4 linked regions of the Schizosaccharomyces pombe genome follow. Changing the gene in region 2 together with the main gene of any one other region gives a genetic interaction. Each region holds a gene or a part of one and is shown on either strand. Other genes may lie near its edges. The genes, in order: atf1, cip1, upf1 and csx1.

Region 1 (6,106 bases), 2.7 Mb from region 2:
TTTGTTTTTTTTTTCCATCTTTTAACAAATGATAAAAATTATAAGCATTGATTTGTATACTAAAGCTTCGTGAATTAATTATGTCTACACTTTCTTTTAGTGTTTGAATATTCAACATCTATGCAATATATATTTTTGGATGATTGATTGTTGTCTATTTTTTTTTACGTTGCATGATTAGATTTGTGTTTAATCAATCGTTCAACAAGTTTATCTCATGTTTATTAAGCTTTCTAATTTGTTATTTTTTATTAATTGTTGTTAGAATTGAATAGTTCGTTCTAAATTGAAACAAACGTTTGCATTTTTATATACGTTTTGTAATGTGAACATCAGTAATTTCATTTTCACTTTTTGTATACATCCTCAATGTAGCGACAAACACTCACTAAGTAAAGTAAATATTGTGAAGGTGCAAATTTTAACTTGATTTCATCTTATGAATGCATGTTCGTATGATAATAGATATGTAAATGACCGATGACAAACCTATTCATTAACTTGATTTATATACTGTTCACGATATTAATACTCCCACAATACACTAAGACTTGTTGATTTCTTACATTAAAGGAAAACAGTAATCAGTTGTTATTAAAAACACTGCTGATTCTTACTAAATAATATAGTTTTAATTATTAAATCAAATCAATCTCATAAGAATGAGTTATAAGTAGTATTCTATAACTCTGCCACATGTGATGAATGGTAAACATTAAGAAAGCGTGTAGTTTTTGTTGTCCAAACGATATTATAGTGAACTAGACACGACAGACAAATTTTATCACTTCATAAAGTACTAAAAGTATGCATGCGGGACGGCGTTCAGTGCAAAATTAAAACAGTAATGGAAAACGGGAAGAAATATAAAAAGAGAAGCCTAAAGATTTTTTAATGTAAAATAAACATATATAATTTCACATCCATAACATAGCTAAATGCATGGAAAAGGGCGTTACAACCCTCAACGGAGGGAAAGTCAAAGGGAAGTAAAAACGTTATTCTTCATTACAACCATCACAGACTGAGACCTTTTCAGATCAAAAACAGTCTAGTACCCTAAATTGATTCTTTGAGCAAGATCACCGCTTCCGATGACACTTGTTGCAACAGCAGCCGAATTACTCTTGGCCACTGGGCAGTCTTTATGAGCAATCAATAAGGTCTTCAAACTCACAATTTCCTCACGTAATGCACTGACTTGTGCACTTAAAATTTCATTTTCATTACCATAAAATTCAACCTTCGCTTGAAGATTAGAAAGCCATTGTTTTTTACGCTGTCTACATTTAAGAGCAGCTTGTCGATTGCGTTCCAGGAAGCTTTTACGTTTCTCTTCATCAGTTTCGTTTTTGGAATTCCGGCGAGATGAACCTTTGCTATACGAAGTGCCGTTGGCAGATTCACTAGAAGCCTTACCATTAATGGAAGAAGTGGGTGAGGATTGATTATTGGCATTACTAGAAGGCTCTTGCGAAGTGGAATAGTCAGTACCATTTTCGAGTTTGACCGGCATCGAATTTGCCGTTGGCATATCAGAATTAGAAGTTTTTTGCGGTAGATTTGTGGATCCATTCTCGGCATTTTGTCCGGAAAAGTCCGTGGTTTGGCGTAATGTTAATGAAGGGTCGGCAGGATTAACTGTATCGCCGTAAACAGATGGCATGCCGTTAAATTGTTGCGACCCCATAAAGTACATAGGCTGTTGCTGAGTACGAGATGCTTGAGGGTTCATTGTACCTGTAACAGCTTGGGGGTTAGTATTTTGAGTAAAAGATGGCCGGATAGAGTCGGGGAAAGTCTGTTGCTGAGTTTGCTTCAGGAGGTTGTTGGCAGTGGTGGATGCTGCTTGATCGTTTTCAGAGGAGATGGGTTGCTGAAGCTTTTGCTGCTGATCGGGAACCTGGGAGAGTAAGCATAACCCATGAACCGCAGCATTGGCACCGAAATAATCAGACTGGTCACCATTCGTCCCATTTACAACAGGCGGTTTACCATCCCTTGGGGTAAAACGATATTGATCAGGAAATTGAGAATCAAACGTATGAAACCCTAATAAATTGGCAGTACCAGGTGAAGGAGCGGGAAATCCAGCTCCAGTAGGGGTTAAAAGAGATCGGAAGGGTTCATTAACACCAGGAGTAAATCCAGTTCCACTAGAAAATCTAGCTGCTGCAGATGCATCTGAAGGATTGTTTAGGTAGTCAGGACGAAGAGTAGCATCATAAATAGCAGGAGAAAGGGGATTATGCATTGTACCACGAGTAAAAGCAGACCAAGCAGGATAGCCCAACGGCGAGGCAATACCTGGAGCTCCACTTAAGATATCAGGTGATGCTATGGAAGAAACAGGAGGTAAGAGAGTTCGCGCAAACGCAGGAGGCACACCTGAAGGAATGTTACTAAGGCTAGGATTACGATTAAGAGAAGGATTTCCTTGTCCAACCGAAGCGGTAGAGCCAAATGAATGCTCAAAGGGGTTGGGTTCGTAATCCAGCTTCAAGGAGCCTACGAAAGACGGAGTTACACCATCGGATTGGTCAGCTGGATTCGCATTAGCGACAGATCCGGCCCCTCCATTAGGAGCGATAGTTGAAGACTGTTGATTCTGCTGAGAATTGTTGCTTGGTGGTGCAAATGAATCAGATTGATTGTTTTCCGGAACCTGAGTACTGGAAGCAGTAGCATTACCATTTGAAACAGCGGCAACAGATGCTGGTTCTGTGGAAGTATTGACGGGAGACGGGGACATAATTGAAGAATTTATGCTTTAACACTTGACAAAATGTATTAAGAGATGACGTTAAAAATCACACACGCTTAAATAACGAAAATAAATAATTTAGATATATAGATGAACCCGTTTAAAGAGAAGATCGAAAATAGTTTTGTCAAAACTAAATAAAAAAACAACTACAAGAAATTAATGGCTTTCCAAATTTGACAAGACAGAAGTAATAACGGCTGATAAAGCAGAAAAAATAGAAACTATATTGTTTCAATAAAAAAGAAAAGAAAAAAAAAGGAGGAGGAGATTAAGGAGATAAAAATACAACTTTCTCGAAAAAAAAAGGGAAAACCGCGACGGAGGCTCTAGACGAGAATTAGTTAGATGTCTGTACAGGCAAAGCTAGAAGACTAGATATGCAAGATTGTGAAGGAAGATATTCTACAAAGGGTAAAAAAAAACTCGCAAAGGTAATAGTCAAGTTTGTAAAAGAACATGTCCAAATAAAATAACAAAGAAACTAATAAAGAATTACAAAAGATAAAAGGGATGTTCCTACTCTTTGTTCTTTTCCTTTTCTTCGTTCGATCGTTTTTGTTAGGGTGTGTTGATTTGGATTATATGAATGTGGAGGCCTTTTTTGAATGAGTTTCAGAACTTAATGTGAGAGAGTACAGTCAAGCGTAGAGTAATAAAGAGATTCGTACTTCAACAGCAAATACACCTGCTAAAACACCCGTTTTTCTTTTTTGGAAATTTTTTTGCCAAAAACGAGACAAAACGGGTTTTCCGCTCTTCTAGCTTCCTTTCTACTCTTGTTCTCTTCCCGTGTGCGTTTATTCACTTCCGAGAAATCATTCATCAAAAGTTGCCACCACATAGATCCCAGTTCAGTCAAGGCAATAGTAACCTACAATGGTAACAAGTAAAATTTTCTAGCACAACAACACCAAAAAAAAATTTCCAAACCCTCAAAAAACGAAGGAATTCCAAACACATTTTACGTTTCCTGTAAACTAACAACCCCATAACGATCAGTGTTATTGATAAGAAAGCGTCATACTCGTCATGTTTAGTAGGGTCAATGACGATAGGAGCAAATTTTCAAATTTTCATAAAAATTCGGTTTTCAACACAACCCGTCACGTTTTTATCACGCTCTTCCAATTTTACAGCCTTTTACATAATCAAACTTCACAATTGCATGTATAAACACATACCTATTTGACTTAATCAACCAAACGTACTAGTAGCAGGTCGTCGTCATGAACCAGAGAATTCGTAATTCAGATCCAACTAAGCGATGACTACTGTATAAATGATGAAAAGACTCGGTCAACTGTCCAAACTGAAATTTACAAACAGAAAAATGGTTTTCGTCAATTCAATCGTTCAAAAAGTGCTCAAAGTAAACTTTTTAGCAATTTCCTAAGTAGTTTCTTTCTTCTTATGTTGTAAGTAAAGGGTAAGTTGTAAATTCCTAGTGCCACACTTCCACCTGTTTCAAACAGATGACGTCATTGCATCACTTTGCATGATTGAACTTAACCAATCACGTGCGGGGCTCTGAAGAAGGGTAACAAGGAAATGGGTCTGGAATAAACCGAGCAAGACGATACTTAAAGTACTGCTGTGTAGTTTTGTATTTTGTGTTATCGTATCGTTAAGAAACGTATCGATAGTTTGGGGAATGGGAAAGGATGGACGGAAAGTAGGATGTTATTGGTATATCATGGAGTGCGTGCTTTTTAAGCAAATATGATGTTAGCAATATGTAGTAAAAATGGTGAGTTTGTGTATAGTGCCATGAATCTTATTTCACTCTTAACTCAAGCTTATTTTATATTAACCGATGAATGAATAAATAATATATCTTTGATGAAGCTAAATCGTTGCGTGTATTTCTGATATTATGTTGTATGTAGGTAAGTGTTTTAGGTTGGACTTCTGCGTGTTTGTAAGATGTGTACGTACGCTGAGTAATTAGCAATGTATGAATAGATCCAGCAGTTCCAGAAGACCTACGAAAAAATAAAATAAAATAAAATAAAATAAAGTAAAAAATAAAATTAAAATAAAAATAAAGATAGGTTATACGCAGAAATAATATACAAGTTTCAAATATTATGAGTACTTGTCACGAATTCAATTATGGAGAATTCTGTACAGTAGGATCTTTCAAAAAGTCTTTACATAGACTTAGATTGTATATATAACATACCAACCCTTACAACATTTAAATAACAGTTTTAATAGCTAATTCATTTGTTTTACAATGAAATCTTTTGCTTACATTTTCGGGAACTTATTAGTCAATACGGGTTGGCATTTTGTTGGGATTACGGATCCGAAAACTACCCAAAAGATAAGCAAAGAAAATGAAGTTTTTTAAAAACAAAATAAATTTGTATTCGTGAAACATAAAAGAATAAAAAAATTAAGTTAGAAACATTTTATGCAAATCATTCCATTCAATTAGCAATTGTGATGGAATTGGTTATACCAATAGATATTTTACACTCATTTTAAAACAATTAAAATTAAGTGAATATATTTGTGTGGTGTGTACTGAGTCAATCATTAATGCAATTAGTTATATTAATAAAGTTCTTTTTGTTTGCGATAACTTTCGTCTCTCTTTTTTTTTTTTTTTTTTTGTTAATTTTTAATTTTTTTTAACACGGCATCTTTCTTCACGAATTTCCTAACTGGAGCCATCAATATCGTAGCGTACACAAATTTCCGTTAAAGCATTTTAAATTGCAGTAAGCTACGTTAAATGAATGAACGAAAGCTAACCCCCGTTATCGGAGACAAACCAGCCCCCTCCTACAGAAGTTGCGCTGCACTGCTTAAAATCCGCACTCGAATTGTATAAAGTAGCTTTTTTGTTTATAACCCGTTTCTCCATCTACCATATGTCAAAGAATCCTCTTGGAACGTTGGTTGTCCGAATATGGAAAGCTGTAAGTCTTAAAAGATGAAGATTTGTTTTGTAAAACTAACGTGTCTTCTTTAGAAAAATTTACCAAACAAGGCTCTAGTGGGCAAACAAAGCCCTTACTGCGTTTGCAGAGTTGGTGAGGTGGTAAAACGTACGCAAACGGATAAGAGAAGCGGTCAAGAACCATCGTGGAATGCGGTACTGGAGTTTAACATTCCCAGTGAATCTTATCATATTATGAAAATAACCGTTTTTCACGAGGGATTTCGAAAGCATCCACACTTGATTGGTGATACTGTATTGTCTTTTGAGAAAGCGATGAAAGAAGAGTTACAAAGTGAATGGTATGAACTAAAAAATGAGTTCCAATTTGCTGGCGAGCTATCTGTGCAATTCAAGTTTATCCCCACTGATCCTCTATACTTTGACCGTGC
Region 2 (4,647 bases):
TTTTCTGCTCGGCAGCAGTTGATGATCTTGTTCCCCTCGAACTCATAAATACAATTGCTATCCTCTAATACATAGGTTTATATGGGTAAAATAAGAAAATTTCTGTTTCTTAGTTTACTTTTTCTACTAATTTAACTTTATATTATCGGCAATATAGCAGATTATCAATATTTATGGTGTTGTGCGGTACTTCCAGCCATAACTCATGAAACTGGTTTTTATAATATTTTCTTTTTCTAGCTGCAGTAATTACAAGGTCAAGTGTATTTCATCTTTTTTCATAACCTTAACAAAAAATAAAAGTTCATCCAAAAAGAATCGTGCATCTTTGTGTTATCCTTTCTTCATTCTTAAATTCAATAGACATTCAAGTGCAGTAATTGAGTAAGGCTGCGATAACCCATAAAGTATTCTTATTTTAGTGAATCCTTTGTAACTTCCTTTAATTACAACTTACTAACAATGGAACTAAAAGTCCACCATGCTTGCAATTTCTTTTTCTTTTTTACATATAAATCAATTCGCATTATATAGGAAAATTTAACGATATTTTAGGTAATTTTAAAGTAGCTCATTTAAAGCCCTACAAGCTTGGTAGAAAATAGACTTTAAATCGTAGGTTTATTTCTATATCCATAGTACGGTAATACTAAGCTAGGAACATTCACATCCACATAAAGAAGATGATTAAATTTACAAAAATAAAAGTTCAATTTTGTAATATCAGACTAATGTATTTGTCCAAGGTTAAATTTAATCATGTAAAGTATGTGTATATTATACGGTAGGGCATAAATTTCTTATACAAGAAAAATCGTTATAATTTGTAAAAAAATAGGAGCATCGCTCATCCGTTGATTATCGTCATAAAACATTATGCCTCACCCAACATATATCCATCATTGATTGCTGTTAAGTCGAGTCGTCCAAATGTGTCGTGGGAATTCAAAACGATAAAATATAAGCTTCTAAGTATTTAAAAGGATTATTTGCTGGATAACCAACTATGTGAAAGGGAAAACAAAAAATCAACAAAATGAAGCCCATAGAGTTTAGATTCATCAGAAGTAAGTGATAAAGGGATAAAGAGCAAAATTTAGTCAAAACAAATAGCGTATAGTAAATGCATCTATAGTTGGCGTAAACAAAAATCATATCTTAAAAGGTACATAAACAGTTTCTTTATAATTGCATAGACTCTAAAAGTGGGAGACACCAAAACTCTGCTTGGAAGCGGAGGTAGAAGCATCATTATCATTTTTTGAATTGAAAGGTGAACTCAAAGTAGAAGCCTTTTGAAGCGGTGATTCATTTCCATAAATTTTGTCGTCAATCGAACGAAGTTGGTTTGTCAATGGTACTGCGAAACTGGGAGGTGGGGTTATAGGGGCACTCTTAGTACCATTCAATGAATGCTCTTGCAAAAATCGAGTAGCTAACGGTGCCGGCATATTAAATCTTAAATTTGGAGATGCAGGTTGCGACTGACTTACGCTCGTATTCTTTTTATTCGGATGAGTAACTACTAATTTTAACACCTCTCCATTCGGGCGAGCATAGTAATCGAGATCAAAGTACAGGCAAAAGATTCTAATGGCATTTAGAAGGTTTCCGTCCTTAGAAGTGGTTTCAAATGTTATTTCACGAGAAGGAATGCATTGATGAGCAAACAATAGAAGTCTACTATAAGTTTCAAGGGTACCAGTGTCATTCAAATTTAAGCCTTGATCAGTAAAGCTAACTTCAAACATCTTGTACTGCTGTTTACGACGTCTTTCTTCAGCTTGACGTTTCTTTGCTTTTTCCACCTTCTCGCGTTCTGCAGCTGGTAATTGGCGTTTCCATTCAACACGAAGACGTCTGCCATTAATTTCATAGCCATTAAGCGTTTGCACAACAACTTGAGCCTCTTCAGGACGATAAAAATTAGCAAAAGCCAATCCTCGAAATATTCCATTGTCATAGTGATAATTAAAGGCATAAGGTCTGGGAATACCTAGTTGCTTAAAATGATCCAACAATGTATCTTTCTCCAACGAGAAAGGAATATTTTTCACAACAATAGCCGTTGGAATGGTATCTTCACCGGGTTCAACCGGTGTTGAATTAGAATTGGCAGTCGATCCTGCTTTGATTTGGGTACTGTTAAAAGCATCCAACGAAGGCTCTGCGGATGTATCAGCTTTATTGCCTTTTCCACTGGCAGAAAAGCTTTTACTTTCTGAAGAAGATTCAGCACCACTAGGAGGAGAGACATTGTGGAAAGCCATAGCACTCGCCTCATTTGCTGAATTTGAGTTCCTGGACGAGAGGTACGGAGTTCCAATAGAATTGGCGCTGTTAAAAAGCGCGGAACCTTTAGAACTATTTTCTAGCCCACCAAGCTGAGAATAACCAAAAGTAGGAAAGCTATCAGAAGGAGCCGGCGATGCAGCACGACTACTAGCAAGAGAAAGGGCACCGGACCATTTGGGGTACAGCGGAGCACTCGAACCGGAACCGCTTGTTTTCCTAGAAGCCTGAGGAGAACCAATTGGCTGTAGCTTAGGAGAATTCAAGGGTGATTGTAATCTTGATAATGCTTCATGATTTGATTTTTTCGTCCCAGAATTACCTGCTAATCCTCGACTTTCATCCACACGAATTTTCCAGGGAAATATTTCATTAGGCATTCTAGATGCGGGGGAACGAGTCCAGATATATTCTGAGGAATAAAAGTTATATGTGAAAACAGAGAAAATTGACTAGGAAATTCCCGTAATTTGCCCCTTAGAATACTGCACTTGTAGATGCTAGTTCAGTCTAAGGATTAATTGAGCGTCTCTTTCAGCAGCATCACACGGTAGCACACCAAATTGTTTAACAAAATACAACGAAAAGCAGCAAACACTTTACTATACACAAAAAAAAATATACTTACTTGTTTGCGTAAATAGTAAGGCAGTTAATAATTAATAGGAATATAAATCTGAACATATTGAGTAGCAGTATGAACGTAAAAAGCCGATTGAAGCTGTTCTTAGCTTTTTTGCTATCTCTCATGATAAACGAGTAATCTAAATTAGCTGTGCCTTACCGAAAACGAGTATCTTGTCAGCTGTAGAAGAGTATAGATAAATAAAAGTAGACAGCTGGACTCTCCATTAGCCAAATTCGAGTAGACTTGAGCATTGCTTAACTTTTCTTCCTTTCTGCTATTTCTTTTTACTATACTGTTCCTGTTGACTTCAGACTTGCTATTTTGTTTTAAGGCGTATCATGGAAATGTACAATGCCAGGCATATTTGAATGCTTTTATTATCGATCCTTCATTCGCTAATAGACGAAATGTTATTTCAACCGACACCTATTAATTATCGAAGTAATCTTATTTACTATACGTTCGCTGAGTCGTTAAAATGTCAAGCAAGTGCCATGTTGTTGTACATTGACGGCTGCAGCGATCCTCCCTTTTATTCTATTTCATAAAAACCACTTATATTAAGCGTTAAGAACTATTTCCATCCAGCATTAATTACTATCGTTAGATGACTTTTAAAGGCTTCACCGTGCACACCCATTTCTTTTGAAATGTACTCAAGTATCACACTTCGAGGAAAAATTACTTTTTAAAACCTCCTTTTGCGTTTCTTATTACATTTTAGAAATCTTACCACTTCAAACTTGGTTCGTGTAATTGACACGTGGCTAAAAGCTGTTGTAGATACGCGGAATCTCCACGCAAATTTCTATTTGATATATTTCGCATGTTGTCGTTTAACCATATCTAGAATGACAACAAGGATGCACTCTTGAGAAGTGCGTTCAAGCTCCTCCTGCTTACTAAAGAAGTTCATTATAAGGGGGAGCGACGTACCGGAGAAAGCAAATACTGCAAAACAATTTGTCAGTGTGCATACAAATATATGTCACATCTCTCACTTTTCTCCTTATTTAAATTGTATTAGATCTCGATGGATTATGTTATTGTGCTAGTAGTCTGATTTTCGTGATAATCACTTAGACACATATTTGTATAAAAATTTACTGAATACCACTAGCAAGCCGCTTACCAAATTAATCACCATAAGACTCAACAATGAGAAATTTGACTATAAGGAATATATAAGCGTTTGGATAGGGTTTTTAGTGCTTTATTATTAGGATATTTCCTTGTTTACTTGTCTTTGTTTTTCTTTATTCTCCCCCTTAAAAATATTTGTAAAATTGTCTAAAAAACGTCCATCTCAACTAGCGGCCATTTGTTTAAAAAATTTTTATTATTCAAGAGCATAAATTATACGCAATGTCTAGTTCTTCATCTCACAACTCATTTTCCGGCTCTAAAACAAATGCTGCTGAAGGGCAAAATTCAATAGATGGACTATCCCTTAAAAAGACCACCAGTCCTTTTATATTGACAGCATATCCTTCCAATGAAGAAAAGGAAGTTAAAGAAACCGACATAGTTCCGGATGAAAACAAAGTGAATGAACTTGACGTGCATAAGCAATCCACTGAATTCTCTAAACAAGAATCTGCTTCTAATGATGATGATACCAATATACAATTAATCCCAGAAAATAATATGAAAATAGTGGTTCCTGCCTTAATTCTTACTTTGTTTCTTGCTGCATTAGATAATACAATTGTCACCACTGCTTTGCC
Region 3 (5,531 bases), on a different chromosome or scaffold from region 2:
GAACTTTTGAACCGGGAGCCCTCGGAAGTCTACGTAACGTAGAAGCGGATGAATAACTAGAAATTGTTGAACCTGGAGGGCGAAATTTCGAATTTTTGTTAAACTTCTTACCACTTGGTCTGTTACCATAAGTGTCCAGAGGAGTTGTAGAACCAGAAAAACCAACAATTTCTGACATAGGAGAATAAGGCCTATTATTTAAAGGAATACTTTTATATGGACTAAAGTTGAGATCTTTTTGATGATCATTGTCTCTTTGGGACGTTAATTTCGTAGATTGTGATGCATGTCCGTATGAACTGCTCTGAATATTATTATTAAAATTGGATGGTTTCATTCGCGAAGCCATTCTTGCAGTATCATCAGCTCTTTTAGAATTTTTTCCGAGGGTTCTGGGTCCATTTACTATAGAAGACCGTGGTGAAGCAAATTGAGAACATTCATGGAATTTCGATTGTTGTGGATATTCATATTTGTTAGTTTCAGAAGATAATGTTTTTTTTTTGTTCATGGGATAATTCGTTCCTCCTGGGGTTTCATCTAGCTGATTAATAGTTTCTTCGTAAGCTAAAGTTTTTGTCTTGCTTAATTTGTTGAGTGGATGTCGGTTTTCGACTGTAGGGATGGTTTCATATTCTTTGCTGGAATTGGGATTAGCAAGCTTTTCTAGTACAATGCGACGGTTTTGAGATATAACTGGGTTGTCTAATTTTCCACTCTGTATGTTGTCATGAAGCGATGCATCTTGTAAACCATCCAAAGTACTCAAATTTTTATTCAGAAAGATTTCTTTTAGATCTGCAAAATGATGCAATCCTTTTTTCTGTGCCAAGTGTTCATCTTTAAAGGACTTCTCTTCTATTCCAACAGCCGATTTTTCTTCATTTTGATCGGGCTTGTTAGGCCTTTTCACACTATTTATTAATTCTGTAAGTATTTTGCTATTGTGTGAATATTGGCGTTGCGATAACAGAAATACGGGCTCTTTAAAAGTAGAATGAGCTCTTAGAGGACTGCATGTCTGTTCAGTCAGATTATTAGGAGAAAGGAAATTAGACACTGGGGCTGAGGAACTTTTACTCTCCTGTTTAGGCAGCGTTTCGCTTGTACTTATTAACCCCACCATTTATAATTGTTGTCGAAGTTGATTAACGTAAAGAAAGTAGAAAAATCAAATAATTAAAGGCACTAGCTGCTTAAACCAGGGTGGGGAAAAATGAAATGTTGTGAAACGAAAAATAATTTTAAAAGAAGGAATTAAACCCGGATTTGGAGAACAAATACTTACAAGTAAATCAACTTGTTAAACGCAGCATTCGAAGTCCCCTCTTTGAAGCCTCTTCAGTTCATGAAGAGTTTGCCGCTAAGCACCACATAAACTCCAAGAAGTTCAGACAATTAAGAGGCCTGAAATTCTTAAAATTATTTCAATTTGGATAGTTTCACACGGGCAGTTGTTGTATAGGTGGAAGTAACACACTCCTTGAAAAGTTCAAAATGGGTAACGGTACACTTGGTATGCTAACTTCCAGAGCGAGTAGATACAACTCTCATGTTAATAAATTTGTATAGAGTCCGATATTAAGTTAAAAATATCTGTTTATTACTTTTCGACAACTGTTAGTCAAAAAATTAATAGTCTTCAATATGATTGTTTACATGGTCTCAGCAACCGTTTATATAATTTTGTTTAATTCCAATAGTGAGCACCGATTTGTGTCACAATACTACAGTGCTCTACCTTATTTAGTAATCTATAGTACGACCAGCTGTTTCAAGAACGTAAATGATCATCTCGAAACTGACAAAATTTATCTACCCTGAATAGATATAATATCTTACAAGTAAATGAGTCTTGCTATTGTTAGTTTTTCCCATTAACGGCGTTTTTTGTTTACGTTTTAGGGAGCTTCCTAGCAGCACATTTTAACTCATTAAACCTCACTAAATGACTAACCTTTCTTTCTAAAAATGTGTTACAATTATTTACACTTTGCAAATTGACGGCTTAATAACATATCAAGTTGTCTTTCCATGTCTTTAGGGCTACAACCTAATAATGATATTTCATCTTTAGTTAGTTCAAAAAATATGACTTCTGAAAATGGACTAGAGCATCAATTTGAAGAATTATTAGTCGAAAAACAATATTCTGAAGAACACTGTGCCTATTGCCACATAAAGAATCCAAATTCTATATTGAAATGTTTGCATTGTAATAAATGGTTTTGTAATGTAAGAGGGAAATCTGGAGCTTCGCATATCATTAGTCACCTAGTTCGTGCTCGACATAAGCAGGTTGCTTTACATAGCCATTCTTCTCTTTCAGACACAGTACTTGAGTGTTATAATTGTGGAACGAGAAATGTGTTTCTATTAGGATTTATACCAGCAAAAGCTAAGACAGTGGTTGTTTTATTATGCCGACAACCTTGTGCTAGAGCTAGCATAGCTAAGGATATGAACTGGGACTTGACTCAATGGCAACCCATTATTTCAGATCGTCAGTTTCTTCCATGGTTGATAACTCCTCCATCCGAAGAGGAACAAAAGCTTGCAATCCCAATCACTTCACAGCAAATGGTTAGGCTTGAAGAACTTTGGCGTAAAGACCCTAATGCTAACCTCGAAGACTTGGATAAGCCCATTGAGGATGATTCATTACCTTCAGTAGAACTTCGATATAAAGATGCTCACGCGTATCAAGCAGTTCTTTCTCCGCTCATTCAAGCGGAGGCTGACTATGATAAACGACTCAAAGAATCGCAGACTCAAAAAGATGTTGTGGTTCGGTGGGATCAAGCTATCAATAAACGATATACTGCTTGGTTTCTCCTTCCCAAACTTGAATCTGGTGAAATTCGGTTGGCCATAGGAGATGAAATGAAGCTTACATATGAAGGAGAACTAAGAGCACCCTGGAGCTCCACAGGATATGTTATTAAAATTCCTAACAACGTTTCAGATGAGGTAGGTTTAGAACTGAAGCGTTCAGATAAAGTACCTATCGAATGTACTCATAATTTTTCCGTCGATTATGTTTGGAAATCTACTTCATTTGATCGAATGCAGACTGCTTTGAGGTTATTTGCTACAGACGGATCACGTCTTTCAAGCTTTTTGTATCATAAATTGCTAGGACACGATATCCCTCCTTCCTTCCTGAAACCAAAATTACCGTCTGATTTATCGGTGCCTAATCTGCCAAAATTGAATGCTAGTCAGAGCGAAGCTGTTCGTGCAGTATTAAGTAAGCCACTCTCGTTAATTCAAGGGCCGCCAGGTACTGGAAAAACTGTCACCTCAGCATCTGTAGTCTATCACCTGGCCACGATGCAATCACGCAAGCGTAAATCCCATTCTCCCGTATTAGTTTGTGCACCTTCGAATGTTGCTGTTGACCAACTTGCTGAAAAAATACATCGTACAGGACTTCGTGTCGTTCGAGTTGCCGCAAAGTCTAGAGAAGACATAGAATCATCGGTTTCCTTTTTATCTCTTCATGAGCAAATTAAAAACTATAAGTTTAATCCAGAGTTACAACGTTTATTGAAGCTACGAAGTGAAAATAACGAATTATCTATTCAGGATGAAAAAAAACTGCGTATTTTGGTTGCTGCTGCCGAAAAAGAACTATTACGTGCGGCTCATGTCATTTGTTGTACTTGTGTTGGTGCTGGTGATAGAAGGATTTCCAAGTACAAATTTCGTTCAGTACTTATTGACGAAGCTACACAGGCTTCAGAACCTGAATGCATGATTCCTTTAGTTTTAGGCGCCAAACAAGTAGTACTTGTTGGTGATCACCAACAACTGGGACCGGTTGTTATGAATAAAAAGGTTGCATTAGCTAGCCTTTCCCAATCACTTTTTGAGCGACTGATTATATTAGGAAACTCTCCTTTCAGATTAGTTGTGCAATATCGTATGCATCCCTGTCTTTCAGAATTTCCATCGAACACTTTTTATGAAGGTACTCTTCAAAATGGTGTCACTACTTCTGAGCGTATTGCTAGACATGTTGATTTTCCATGGATACAACCTGATTCGCCATTAATGTTTTATGCAAATTTCGGTCAGGAAGAGCTGTCGGCTAGCGGTACATCATTTTTAAACAGAACGGAAGCCTCAACGTGTGAAAAAATTGTTACCACATTTTTAAGAAGCAACGTGCTTCCTGAGCAAATTGGTATTGTTACTCCATATGATGGTCAGCGTTCCTATATTGTTCAGTACATGCAAAATAACGGATCAATGCAGAAGGATCTTTATAAAGCTGTTGAAGTAGCATCGGTGGATGCGTTCCAAGGAAGAGAAAAGGACTTCATTATTTTGTCGTGTGTACGTTCTAGTGAACACCAAGGTATTGGTTTTGTTAACGATCCAAGAAGGTTGAACGTTGCATTGACTCGAGCAAAGTATGGTGTAATTGTTCTCGGTAATCCAAAAGTCCTTGCTAAACATGCTTTATGGTATCATTTTGTCCTCCATTGCAAGGAAAAAGGATATTTAGTTGAAGGCACTTTGAACAGCTTACAAAAGTTTTCCTTAACCCTTACTCCTCCTCAGAAACCTCAAAAATTTAAAAGAGACCTCAATGTACAAAGATCACTATCTCCTATACAGAATGCCGGTTCTGCCATGTTACCTTCGTTTTCTAATCTTCCGAACTTATACTCTTCCTCGTATCTTGAAGAATGGAATGTCTTTGCTCAATACAAACGAAGAGAAAGCAACGCTACCGACTTTGAAGACTTTAGAAGTCAGGTTGGTGATGATGAAAGCAAGTTCGACGAACCTACTAGGTTCTAGTTAATAAGTATTTGCTTACTTGTAATTACGAATGCCAACATATCTTTTATTTGTTGATATTTTTGGTGTTCAAGTTTTATGGACCGTTTGGTCTGTAAGCGTTTTAAACCATTGATATGGCTGTTAAATAGACTTTAGTAATAGAACCTTTCCTTATCACTTTCTTTTATTTTATTCCTCTTTGTCTAGTAAATGCATCTTACTCATATATACTTATATATACTTATATATACTTATATATACTCACACGGTACAATACGCGTATAAAATTTAAGTATTGAGAAGTTGTTAGTATAAAATAGAACTTTTGCCCTATTAGGAAGGATTTGCAATGATTAATTGCATAACGAAAATTTTTTAAAAGCCTTAATGGAGAAAAGTAATGTAAAATAAGCCAATTACAACAGATAGCCAGTTCTAAGAGGTTTTATAAATACAACATTAGCAAAAAAATAACAGAAAACAACCTTTTCTGACGATTTGAACACGACAGATTAGATTAACGTAGTCTGATTTTATACAAAATGTAAAAATATCGTAAAAATTCAAGTGCGTGCCTTATTGAATAAAGTGCGTAGTGCAATAGGTAGGTTTGGGTGCGTTCTCGCAGGAAGTAGTGCGCTTTTTACGTCTGGAGGAATAACCTCTAACTCTCGTTTTTTCCTTTCATTATTAAACTTTTTAGCTTCTATGCCAATCGCGTACAAAAAATCTTTGAT
Region 4 (4,791 bases), on a different chromosome or scaffold from region 2:
CCTTACCTGATTTTCTCTCTCTCACGCACATACTCTCTCTACTGCCTTGTGCTCTCTCTGTCTCTCTCCCTTGTCCTCTTTCGATTCTTAACCTCGTAAATCTTACATCCATTTTTCGGACTTTGGTTTTCGGTACCGGTGCGCATCGCTGTCTCGCTTTTTTTCCTCGCTACGCATCCTTATTGCTCTCTTGGGATTTCGCCACTTTCCCTCGCCTTGCTTGTCTTGTGTTGCCTAGCTGATTGCATAGCCCATACTTCATTTGTGTTTATTACACACCGTACCCCCCTTGTTGTGTGTATACGTTTTTAAGGTCTCGCTATTTAAAGTGCTTGCCTAGTCTGGACACGCTCCTACTCTCTCCCATTCACTTTTACTTTTCACTCGTCTCCCAACGGTTCATCCTTTCTTTCCTTTACTTTGCTTTGCTTCGCTTTGCATTCGGAACCGGTTGTACTTTTTTTTTCTCTTTTTCGCTGCGTGACTTATTTATTTGTATTTTACCGAATTCCTCTAGCATTCCAGCGTTCTATCCTATCACCACTTTTTTTTTCATTTTTCTTCTTTTTCCCCTATTGAACGATTTCTCCTCTTCCCTACTCTATCGTTCCCTCTAAATTTTCCGTACCTTTTTGCAGATTCCTTACTTGGTTATATATTACTGACTGCTTTTGGTATCTTTTTTCCATTCTTCTTCTCGTCTCTTTCAAACTCTACCTTTCTCGAGAAGGAAAATTTTCCCTTTTACTTCCTCGCATACCGTATCCTCCTATTTAGCTATATCACTAGCGAAAAAAAGGACTACTCGATATCAAAAGGATTCGTTTGTTCTTTATATATTATAACATACATATACTGCACAGTATATATATATAAACCTATAATATACGGACACCTCTTTTTCCTGCATTGTATATATATTATATTTATATAATATATAATATAATATAATATATATATATATATTTGTCATTGTTGCTGTTGTTCTTTAACTTCATCAAAGAAAACACTTCTGTCCCCCCTGTCAGGTTCCTTCGTTTTTTATTGCACATATATATATATTTTTATTTTATTTTATTTTCTTTTCTTCTTCTCTTTCTGTGATTGATTAACTCGACTCGATTTTCTTTTTTCCTTTTCTTTATTTTCTCTCTTCCAACCTTTGGTTTCTTTTTCTTTTTTTTATTCTTCATACCTAATAATTTTCAGAAGAGACCTTGTTCATCGTTGTTTCCTTTTTCTTTCGTACATTGTATTACTTGTTTTATTATTTTTAAAATAAAAACTGAAGAACCCTGCTTCATCACAACCATCAGGTTTTCTTTTTCGTGTACCCATTCAGTGATTTTAACGAATTTTTCTTTCACGCCTCATTAAGGATTGTATTTTCGCTTTTTGTCTCATCAACAATCGAATAACTTTGTTTCTGTGTTTTTTTTTTATATTTTCACTTCAACAAGCTTTTTACCGCGAAACCATCTCATTTATTAATTTCCTTTTATTTCAGATCGATTTTGATTTTTATTCTTCCAATCCTCTTTAATACTCGATCTTTGTAACACTTTGTTTTAGTACTTCTTTTATTCCTGAATCTTTTTTTTTTTGCTCTTACCGTTACACTTTACGCAAGCAAAAAAAATTTCTCTTTTTTTTTTTATTAAATTGTTCTTGATTGTTCTATTAGCATTTCTTCATCTCAAGAGTTCTTAGACCTCTCGCTTTTTCGTCCTTGATTTATTTGTCTGTACGTTATAAGCTAAGCTTTATTTTGTTCATCGTTGAAAGATTCTACCACCCATTGTCTTATACTGGTTACGTTTTTTGACTTTTGTGTCTCATTGAAACTTTGTTGTTCATTCATATTACTTACTTTCTTTTACTTTTTTTTGGATATCTATTTAAATGTCTATTGACTGCCTTTATCGCCGTTCTTCATTGTTTGATACTTCCTTCGTCCCTTTGCATTCGTCTATTCCAGCAACCTCGAAAATGTCAGCTTCTAATTCAGATGTCAATGCCCCCATTTCCCCTGTGGTTGATGAGGGCAAATCAGAGTTAGTTTCTCCTACTTTGGAGAGACTTGTGGCTCCTTTCAACTGTTCTCCTAGCTCCACTCCACTTCAAGATGTAGCAGGTGTTGGCTCGAAAATGAGCGACACCTTATGGATGGGTGACCTGGAACCTTGGATGGACGCTACTTTTATTCAACAGCTCTGGGCTTCCCTCAACGAACCTGTCAACGTTAAAGTCATGCGCTCCAAAGCATCCTCTTCGGAAACGCTTATCAGCTATTGCTTCGTTCAGTTTTCCTCTTCTGCAGCTGCTGAGCGTGCTTTGATGAAGTATAATAACACCATGATTCCTGGTGCTCACTGTACCTTCAAGCTTAACTGGGCTACTGGTGGCGGCATTCAACATAACAACTTTGTTTCCCGTGATCCTGAGTTTAGTATCTTCGTTGGCGACCTTCTTCCCACTACCGAGGATTCGGATCTTTTTATGACTTTCCGTTCCATATATCCCTCATGTACCTCAGCCAAGATCATTGTCGATCCCGTTACCGGTCTCAGCAGGAAATATGGCTTTGTTCGCTTTTCAAGTGAGAAAGAACAACAACATGCCTTGATGCATATGCAGGGCTATTTGTGTCAAGGTCGCCCCTTACGCATCTCTGTCGCTTCACCAAAGTCTAGAGCCTCCATCGCCGCCGATTCTGCCCTTGGTATCGTTCCTACTTCTACTTCTAACCGCCAGCCTAATCAAGATCTTTGTAGCATGGATCCTTTGAACACTACGGTGTTTGTCGGTGGCTTGGCTAGCAATTTATCCGAGAAAGATTTGCAAGTTTGCTTTCAGCCCTTTGGAAGAATTTTGAACATCAAGATTCCCTTTGGCAAGGGATGTGGCTTTGTCCAGTACAGTGAAAAATCTGCTGCTGAAAAGGCCATAAACACTATGCAGGGTGCCTTAGTTGGTACTTCTCATATCCGCCTCGCGTGGGGTCATAATACGCTTCCTGTATCTGCCTTGTCTCAATCTCAATCCCAAGTTTCAGATGAGGGCTTCGACAGAACTCTTTCCGCTAACCAAATTTTCGGTATGAATCAATCTGTCATTGGAGCAAACTCTGGCAGCTCAAACTCATCCGGCTCTAGCTTGAAGAGTGCACCTGTTTCACCTCGTACTGCTGCTGCGCAATCTTTGTTGCCAAACTCCGTTGTTTCCTCAATCAATGGCATGAACTCCGTAAATTTTTCAACCATTTCTCCACCTCCTTTGTCTCGTTCAGCCTCCATTTCTCCTACGTTGTCCGGTAGTGGCTCAGGTTTGACACCTCTTTCTTCCCATTTCCCTTCAGCTGCCACTGGCTTGGTAGGCGGACAGGTGTATCCTCAGTCTTCTGTTTTGCAATCCTCAAAAATTAATGGTTCTGCAAAGGTCCAGCCTAGTGTGAAGCTCCCCGAATGGTTGCAGCCTTTTTCCGGCAACAATCATAACTCCTTTGCTACTCAAGATTTATTAACACGTGTTTCCTCCTTAAAGTTGGTTGATGATGAGCAACCTGCTTCTTTGAATGGTTCAGCATTTCAAGCGAGAGCTTCTAGGCCTTGGAACCTAGGAAGGGAGCGTCAGTCTTCACTAATTGATCTCCGTCATGAGTTGGAGCAAAATGAAAACGGTTTGGAGAAATCCGGCTTTGGTTTGAACTTGAGAGGTCGCTTGCCTCCTCGTTCTTATTCTACATTTAATTGTACTGGTCAATACTTGCAACCTTCTCTACGCTTGTCACGCGATTCATAAATTATTTTTATGATGTTTGAAATGCATTACTACTACTACTATTTGTTTCTTCCACTTCTCTTCTTAAGTGAAGGGATTTCCCGAATATTCTTGTTTTATTTCTAATGTTTTTGTTTTAATTTTTTATTTATTTTCGTTTTTCAAAGGCATCCGTATAAGTTTTCGAGGGCTCCTGATCAAGTTAGTTTAATGTCTTAAAGAACTGAAGGGTGCTCTCGTGATTTTTTTTATTTTGTTTTGTTTTTATTCTTGTATGTTAAATCTCTCTTGTGATGTTTTTTATAACTGTTGAATATTATTTGTGCCAAGGATTGTTTTATTTATGATTGTTTTATTTTTCTTTCATTGCTGTTGTTCCTTAATGCACATATGTACATGAAAACTTCCATTGAGGTTTTTCAAACGTCCAAATCTTTTTTTTGGATCGATGAGTTATTTATATGTTTTATTTTAAAATGTCCTTTCCAAAAAATAATTTTGTTATTTTTTCTTCTGATTTTCTAAATAATTAAAAGCATTGTTTTTGTTTTCAACTTATATAATGGAAATTTTCCAGTGACTGTAGTAGATATTGGTAGCTTGTCGATTGTAGCTTTTCAATTAAAAGTTTTAAATCTGAAACTTGAATTTCAAACACATTTCTCTAAAATTAGTCGAAAAAAATGTAAGTCAATTGAACAAATACTTTTCTGATGCTTTGCATTATCCGATGCACCTCTTCAGTATGTGCCATAATATTAAATGCCCAAGTAAAGACATTTATGTTTATCCCTTTCTAATTTTCACAGAACATAAAAACATCATTTTAATTAAGACTTTATATGATTTTTTTTTTACAAAAATAGCTATTCAATATGAAAGATTGGTAGAAATATGTTTGCCTAGAAAGTAGCACCCATTTACCAACATGCGACGATACTTAAAAAAGGCGAAGCCTAAAATCGTGCAAACGAGCGACAATGAGGAAGAAAAGCATGAAGAAAATTTAAA

Evidence for each region.
Region 1: of cip1 (region 2) and atf1, a mutation in one rescues a mutant of the other (synthetic rescue), as found in Schizosaccharomyces pombe (one study listed by BioGRID).
Region 3: of cip1 (region 2) and upf1, a mutation in one rescues a mutant of the other (synthetic rescue), as found in Schizosaccharomyces pombe (one study listed by BioGRID).
Region 4: of cip1 (region 2) and csx1, a mutation in one rescues a mutant of the other (synthetic rescue), as found in Schizosaccharomyces pombe (one study listed by BioGRID).

The regions. Positions count from the first base shown.
Region 1 is NC_003423.3:1,544,307-1,550,412, reverse strand, and holds atf1 (Atf-CREB family transcription factor Atf1), read right to left. Parts: upstream 4,197-6,106; 5' UTR 3,949-4,196; exon of another isoform or gene 3,553-3,948; intron 3,094-3,552; 5' UTR 2,753-3,093; coding exon 1,052-2,752; 3' UTR 551-1,051; downstream 1-550. Other genes in the region: contractile ring-membrane anchor Fic1, read left to right, coding at 5,647-5,694, 5,748-6,106.
Region 2 is NC_003423.3:4,261,274-4,265,920, forward strand, and holds cip1 (RNA-binding protein Cip1), read right to left. Parts: upstream 2,805-4,647; 5' UTR 2,673-2,804; coding exon 1,200-2,672; 3' UTR 545-1,199; downstream 1-544. Other genes in the region: NuA4 histone acetyltransferase complex subunit Eaf7, read right to left, coding at 1-46; SPOM_SPBC16A3.17C (transporter), read left to right, coding at 4,286-4,647. UniProt on the Schizosaccharomyces pombe protein: Regulates global gene expression after oxidative stress. Interacts and stabilizes mRNAs and may regulate their transition between different cytoplasmic components after oxidative stress.
Region 3 is NC_003424.3:800,591-806,121, reverse strand, and holds upf1 (ATP-dependent RNA helicase Upf1), read left to right. Parts: upstream 1-1,988; 5' UTR 1,989-2,034; coding exon 2,035-4,812; 3' UTR 4,813-4,981; downstream 4,982-5,531. Other genes in the region: DYRK family protein kinase Pom2, read right to left, coding at 1-1,126; Clr6 histone deacetylase-associated PHD protein-1 Cph1, read right to left, coding at 5,358-5,531. UniProt on the Schizosaccharomyces pombe protein: RNA-dependent helicase required for nonsense-mediated decay (NMD) of aberrant mRNAs containing premature stop codons and modulates the expression level of normal mRNAs. Also capable of unwinding double-stranded DNA and translocating on single-stranded DNA.
Region 4 is NC_003424.3:3,569,457-3,574,247, reverse strand, and holds csx1 (RNA-binding protein Csx1), read left to right. Parts: upstream 1-1,902; coding exon 1,903-3,801; 3' UTR 3,802-4,241; downstream 4,242-4,791. Other genes in the region: spliceosome complex disassembly protein Ntr2, read left to right, coding at 4,709-4,791. UniProt on the Schizosaccharomyces pombe protein: Regulates global gene expression after oxidative stress. Interacts and stabilizes atf1 and pcr1 mRNAs after oxidative stress, thus controlling their turnover.